Ovis aries: one gene and its partner. The protein of the gene in region 2 interacts with the protein of the main gene of each other region in a biochemical or structural test. Links are inferred from orthologs where the notes say so. Each region holds a gene or a part of one and is shown on either strand. Other genes may lie near its edges.

Region 1 (3,827 bases), on a different chromosome or scaffold from region 2:
AATACTTTTATTTGCCAGCGTGGGTGTGGGCACTACACTGTTACCGAGCGACAACAAAATATCTTACACAAAGCTCCACAATCTGTCTGCTAGCCCTAAATTCATTGTGGCAGACAGCAATGTTGTGGCGATGGAATTATTGACAGGATAGATCATCACAGGGTAAATGTTAGTAGGACAGGGCAGAAGAGATTATGAACTGATGAATCTGAAGGAGTACTTACAAGAATATCAGTGTTTTCAAAATAATTCCTCCAGTATGGTCTGATTTTCCTCTGTCCGCCAATGTCCCAGACATTCAGTTTAAAACCTTGTGATTGTACACTTTTGATGTTAAAACCCTGAAACAAAAACACCAAGTTTTTTCAAAATGGAGGGGGTATATGTATACCTATGGTTGCTTCATGTTGCGGTTTGACAGAAAACAACAAAATTCTGTAAAGCAATTATCCTTCAATTAAAAAAAAACACACACCAAGTTTTACTAGACTTTGAGATCACATTTCTGACAAAGGTACATTTACCAGCTATGTTATTTATTAATTCTGAGATACTCTGCAGGATAAGAAACAGATGATATTGAAAACAGTTTGCTCTGATAGGGAAGAAAAATGTATTTACACATGTTCCCATCACTCGGGGCAGAGTCGGTGCTCATGACATCATGCTGAGTGCACACACACGTGCCACTACTGAGAATGAGAATTACTCAGATAATCAACACAAACCACCTTCAATCCCCATCAGTCCTCAAGACGGTAACATTTAACAGGATATTACATGTAACTAACAAACAAAGACGAATCTGCAGGCTCAACAGAACAGAACAAGTGCGAAATTTAAAAAGAGTCAAGAGCTACACCCTGGAAGACTGGATTCTTCAAGAACAACCCAAAATGAAAGAAAATTCTCTCATATGAACTGATCAGGAAAAGGAAAGAGCTGAACTCAGGACACAGAGGGGGAGGCTGGTTTGTAACTGGAGTAGTAGCCCTCGTGCGGGTGGTGATGAGCATATGAAACTGTTCTTTAGTAGGTTATCTCTGATGAACTTGAAAGGATTCATTTTCAGGACAGTGATGCCAGGTGGAACTTTGGGGCCAGTGAACCAATCAGGGGCAGACAGAATGGTGAGCTGGGAGTTTGGGTGCAGAGAAACAAACTAACAAGAACTTTGGGGTTTGAAGAGAAGGCATTTTATAAGCAAGAATAAAAAAAGAAAAAAAATCTTCTGGCAAGAACGACATCGTGAAATCAGGATTTGAAAAACCCGATCAACAGCTTGCTCCCATGGAAGTGACATTTCATCCAAAAGAGCTGGAGTTAGGTGGGTCTGGAGATGCCTCCACAAACATTTGCCTCTCCTGGCAACTTGCCACCACAGAAGGACAAGGCACAGGCAAGGGTAGGGGAACACAGCCACCCAATTTCCACCAAGGATAGTCAGTCACTGGAGGACAACTGGGGATGATGTTGACTACAGCTCCTCGAAAATGCCAATGACTGGGTAAATTAGAAGTGTTAGAACTCTTAAGGGAAGTGGCTTATGCTTATTGTAAGAGGCAGCTTCATTCTGACTCACTGACAAAACCACTTTTATGCATTTAAAAATCCTACACTTAACTACGTTATTAAATGTCAGACCCAGTAACAATGACTCCTTTCTGGAATGAGGGAATAAATAAGAGTAGATCCTGGAATTTGACCATATGTTAACTGCCTTAAAAGTCTGTAAGTCACCAAACCTAACAAATCTACTAGAAATTATTCTAAAGAAATAATAATGAACGGGTGCAAACATTTAGAGACATGTACTGTCTTAGTACTGACACACAGAACAACGTAGAAAGATGTTCAAGACGTTATTATGAAGTGAAACAGATGATACAAAATAGTATACTCTGTATGAGCCATTTTTCACTTTTTATTTTCAACATACCCACCATAAATGGGGAAAGAAAAAGCCTGAAAGGATACAATTTCAAATGTTAACAGTGGTTATGTCTGACTGGGCATTATAGGTGATATCTAGTTTCTCGATTTTACATATTTACATATTTTAAATTTACTACCATGAGCATCTATTATTTTTTCTAATATGAAAAAAAAACACATCATAGGTATGTTTTAAGACTAAATACAAAAATACATTTGTTCTAAATACAAAACCTTGATGTAATATAGTAATACATCAAACAGAGCCTGAAAATTAGAACTGGAACTTGGGGTCCATAACTAGGACTTCATGTTCCTGCTCTCAGTGTTGACCTCCTCATTTCAGTGGTGCTCTTGAGAGAGACAGCCTATCTCTAATACTTAAAAAAAACCAACAACAACTTAGTTCTTCTTTTTCTGGCAGAAATCCTGACACCCTAATAGGTGTTTTCAGCTTGTCTAGGCTAGACTACTGTAATTTGCTCCTCCTCAGGCTATACATTAAATTTGTTCAGAAGCTGTAAAATTGCTCATTTGGTAGCAGTTGAAATGACTTTTCTGTAAAGAGCTGCGAATCAGTAAGACTCGCTGGCCATCAAGTATACACACCAGCATGGCCATTCAAACAGGACATTGAGCTCATCGCAGGACAGCAACAGGAACAGCAACAGAGTTGCTAAACAACTCTGGTTTTGCTAAAACCTCTTGTTCAAACGCTGCAAAGTAAGACCAACAGGGATGTCGCTAGTTAGGAAGCCCAAAGGCCTGGCCAAAGGTCAAGTTTTCTCAGGATTCCTTGTAGGAGAGGAGCCCTAAAGAAACCTACGAGGATTCTTCCAGGCAGGACTCATCTGCAACATCTATGCTGGGAGTACCACCAGCCTTGGCTTTTGCTTGCTTAGCCTTAGGAAAGAGGAGGGTTGATGAGACTGGATTTTAAAATATGGGTAGGGTCTCCCCTGGTGGTCCACTGGCTAAGACTCTGTGCTCTCAATGCAGAGGGCCCGGGTTCATTCCCTGATCAGGGAAGTAGATCCCACATATTGCAATTAAGAACCAGAGCAGCTGAATAAATAATAAAAATAAAATAAGAGGTAAGCTTAAAAAAATAAAAGTAATTGGGTTTTTTCTTTTAAAAATTGACATACGTTTGTATTTATGAAGTCTGAAAAATATATACTAAAAGTGGTTTTTCTCAGGGTACTCTGTTTTTTTTTTCTTTATGTGCTCTCTGTATTTTCCATATGTACTGATTTCGAAATCAGAGAAGATAAGGCTATTTCTAAAAAGGAATCACTTAGATCTGAGGGAACTGATGTGTCTTGATATGTATAGACATATACATTTAAATGATTTCTTTTTAAAAAATCGTTGTAAAATATACATAACATGAAATTTACCATTTTAACCATTTTTAAGTTTGGTTTACTGTTGTGTAACCATCACTGCCATCCATCCATCATCTTGCAACTCTGACTCTCTATGCCCATTAGACAATAACTCCCCATCCCTCCGCATCTCCAGCCCACTAATCACCACTGTTCTCTTTCCTGTCTCTATGAATTTGACTACTTTAACTATCTCATATAAATAGAATCTCTTGATATGTTTTTGAAATATGAGATTATTTTGAAATTGCATAGACTTTTCTCAGCAACAAAACTTACAAATGGACACAACTCTATTCCCCATTTTGTCTTTCACTTGCTACTAGCATCTTCCATGTGTCACGCAAGCATGGGGGCGAGGCAGAGCTCACCTGTGTCGGTGTGATGTGGCTGATGTCTTCAGATGCCAGCTGCTTCAGAAGAGTGGTCTTGCCAGCATTATCCAAGCCCAGGAGAAGGATTCTCACCTCCTGGTCTGGTGCACTTTTCAATTTGCGCAGAATT
Region 2 (3,827 bases):
CATTTGTAAATTATGATCAAAATTATATTAAATCCATCACTGATTTTTATTTGCATCTTATAAAATCATTTTGATTTTAGTGAGAGGTTATGTAATATAGAATGCTCTTGTAAAAAGACTGAAATGATATGATGCTAATACAAGGTGAGGCACAGGGTAGGTGGTCAACATTACTTATTAGTTTAAAGTGAAAAGTCTTTTAATGTATTATTTCTGAACATTGGACATACAATACAGTAGTTGTAAATGAATCTGAAAATATCCACAAAGAGTTCAAACATGAAAATAAATTGTTGGTTACAATTTTAAGAGGAATTTTTACAAGTGATTTTTTTCAGTCTTAGTTTTATCAAAATAGAATTAAATTTAAAAATAGACCTATGAAAGCTAACTTCCAATTAGCTACTCTGTATGGAGAAGGAAATGGCAACCCACTCCAGCATTCTTGCTTGGGAAATGCCATGGATGGAGGAACCTGGCAGGCTATCGTCTATGGGGTTGCAAGGGTCAGACACAACTGAGCAACTAAGCACACAGCACATGATGTAGATGGCAGGTTCAGTCCCTTCTCACAAGATCAACCTATCAAAATCTTCTGATTACGTTACAACAACCCTCTCAAATCAGTTTTCCCTGGGCACTGAATCGATGCACCTAAGGACTGGTCCAAGAATGTGGATTTTTAAATAAGTAGCTCCCTCCTGCCCCCTGGTAAATTATTACGTCCAGGTTGATTTGGAAAATAATGCTTTAAAGCAACCAAAATAATTTTTATCAGACTTGAACATTGATTGATAGAAATTTATCTAGCATCTTAACAATCTGCATAATTCATCAAGATGCTTAAGTATTTCTTACGTAAAAATGCTGCAAGGTTTTGTTTTAATTCTAATAGCTCATAAGAGTTGATAAAACAGTAATCACCTTTGTGAACTGCTGGTGATTGGGCTTCTATAGTTTCATTATTCCATATACCTTTTCCTACCAGGAAGCAGAAAAGTCATCTAACAGTTTTATTAAAAAACTAAACAATGTGGAATATATTCAAATAAGCATACAACTGTTTAGTCTTTAAACAGTTATACCAACATGTTACTTGCAAAACTGGTTATCAAATACCTATTAATTAAAAAATTCAATTTACAAAGTATTATGTCAACTCTGTATACAAAATCTCATTTTCCATATTATGGAACTAGGAAGCAAATATTTAACTGGATATGTATACATGAAAAATGTACACAGGTTCATTTTAACTGATCAGCTATTAAGAAATCCTTCTAAATTAAAAAAGAAAATGGAAGATATTCTCAAACAAGTATTATAGAGTACTGAGTAAAGTGTAAATTAGAGATTTGAAAGAACGTTTAATTAGGATTAAAAAAATGAACTGCTAATCACTTCTGTTTTCTAATAACAGTATCATATGCAGAGAAAACCTACAATCTCACTGAACTGGGTTAAGTGGGTTTTAAGCTGATTAAAACTATTTAATTTAAAATGAACTCTTTCCAAATCTCATGTAAATGATGCAGCATTCAACAATTTATTTTAAAAATGACTTTAACAATTTTAGCATCAGTTTAAAAAAAAAAGCCATTGCTAACACACAAATTGAAAAGGGCTTAATACGAAGTCCTTGGTTCTGCATTGCACTTCATATTCCCATCTGTATATCAGCAAAATTGTAGAAGCTGTCTACATCTCCAGGTGCCGTCTCCTTGCTTTCTGATACAAATATCTACGTTAAATGTAAGAGGAAAAAAATAATGTATTAGTAATCCCCAAATTCCAAAGCCCACATCCTCCACAAAACAGTCAAAAGCTTGCTATTTAAAAGAAATTCTGGATTTTCTATAGAATTCATGCAGTATAGTTTCAATTAGCTATGATGTAAACGGAGCTCTTTTTAAAGCATTTATGATATAATTAAAGTCTTTGCTTTATAATGCTTTGGTTGTATTTTACTACTCTTGGAATTTCAGTTTTTAAAATATGTAAACCAATATTATGAAAGCTACTGAATAAAGAGATTTATGTAAAGAACTCTTAATTTCTTTTATTTTCTAATAAAAATCTCAATAGACCAAGAAGCAAAACTTGATATTTTTTTTCAAAGCTGCTAAAGATATTTTACTAATTTTAAATTAACTATTTTCCAAACATCAACAAAGCAGTACTCAATAGAACCCTTCAAAAACAGCTTTTATAAATGTCTGCCAGAAATCAGAGGAGACCTGAGTTCTATTTATCTTGATCATAACTAGCTGAATGACGCTGACAATTTAATCAACCTCTCTGGGCTCCATTTCCACATCTGTAAAATGAGAAAGTTGGATTAGATAATCTATAACTCATTCAGATCTAAAAGCTCCAAATCATATAAACATTTTCTCTCTGTTTCCTTTTCTATTCAATCTGATTATATTTGCCCTCTCCCTTAGTACTTGTTGCAATGATCAAATGAGACAAAAGACAAAGTACTTTAAATTGTGCAAATTCAAAGGCCCATAAGCTAAATCAGAGTACAAAACCAAACGTTTCCTCTCAGATATTTATTTAAAAAGTTACGTATACTCATTTAATCATCTTATATGTTTGTTTCTAAGCTATATTAAGTTAAAAATTGAAATTCTTAGACTCATCAACCACATCTAGAAAATACCTACATGTAATGATTTCTAGATATAGCTCAAGTTTCGATGAAGCATTACTGAAGCAAATAAAAGTGAACACTGAGCAATAGGCTTGTCCATTTAAAGTATACAATCTTAGAAATGTAACATTTTCAGCATATCACTATTTTTATTTATTTGCCACACTGTGTGGCTTGTGAGGTCTTAGTTCCCTGACCAGGAATGAAACCTATGCTGCCTACACTGGAAGCACAGATTTTTAACCATTGCACTGCCAGAGAAGTCCCAACATATCACTATTTTTAAAAAAGGAAGAACTTGAAGAGACATTTGGTGAGACATTTGACTTTAGAAACATGTGTGATTGAGATTTTTAACATGTAGACACTTTGTAAATTTTTAAGCTATTAAAATTTCAGTTTGGCAAGGAAAAACCAAAGCTTAGTTCTCAATTGTTTACCAAAGTTTTAAAAATCATGATGTGCTAAAAGTACTATTTAATTGTAATGAAAAGAGAAGGAAATGAAAGGTTTGACTGAAATATAGTCAACAGTATCTTGTACCTTGGTCCCCCTGAATGTCTCGTTGACAATAAGTTGACATCCTTCTACAGCGCCATCTCCATTGAACTCCAAGGCAATAACAGGACCTATAGGCAAAAAGGAAGTGTTGTCTTATCATGAACACAAATCTATTCTCAAATTAATCTTCTTATTCTTCCTTGAAAAATCTACAGCCTTTTCTTTGGGGGTAAGAGAAAAGAAAGAAGAGAGTAGACAGATAGGACACATCACTTCAGCTACTTCTTACTCTAATCATAAAACAAATTAACATAGAGTTTTATCACATGACAAATAGCGTCAGTGCCATTACAGGTCTAGTGTCACATTTTTAAGTGTTGTAAATAGTCTGGCTTTTCTGGCTTTCATTCTTCTATGAAAACTATAAAAAGTCCACCAATTTAGCAATATAAAAAATAGCTGATAAAATGACAAATAAGATCAAAAGCTATTCAAGTCATTTTGCCAGGCAGCCAGTCTTTCTTCCAACTCTCCCACTTACAGCCAAGTTTTGGGCCACCAGTAATGAAGCTAAGCCAAGTAGGAATTGAGGCCAGGTACCAAAAGTCATGATCATCTGAAAGTGTTTTCTTGAATGTACCATAAAACTATATTTTAGAACCAAAGAACA

Evidence for each region.
Region 1: the proteins of RP2 (region 2) and ARL3 form a complex in vitro, tested with the Homo sapiens proteins (2 studies listed by BioGRID). The link is inferred for Ovis aries from reciprocal best matches to the Homo sapiens genes RP2 and ARL3.

What each region holds. Positions count from the first base shown.
Region 1 is NC_056075.1:23,049,812-23,053,638, forward strand, and holds part of ARL3 (ADP-ribosylation factor-like protein 3), read right to left. Parts: coding exon 3,695-3,827; intron 342-3,694; coding exon 225-341; intron 1-224. UniProt on the Homo sapiens protein: Small GTP-binding protein which cycles between an inactive GDP-bound and an active GTP-bound form, and the rate of cycling is regulated by guanine nucleotide exchange factors (GEF) and GTPase-activating proteins (GAP).
Region 2 is NC_056080.1:57,905,263-57,909,089, forward strand, and holds part of RP2 (protein XRP2), read right to left. Parts: intron 3,286-3,827; coding exon 3,200-3,285; intron 1,742-3,199; coding exon 1,658-1,741; 3' UTR 1-1,657. UniProt on the Homo sapiens protein: Acts as a GTPase-activating protein (GAP) involved in trafficking between the Golgi and the ciliary membrane.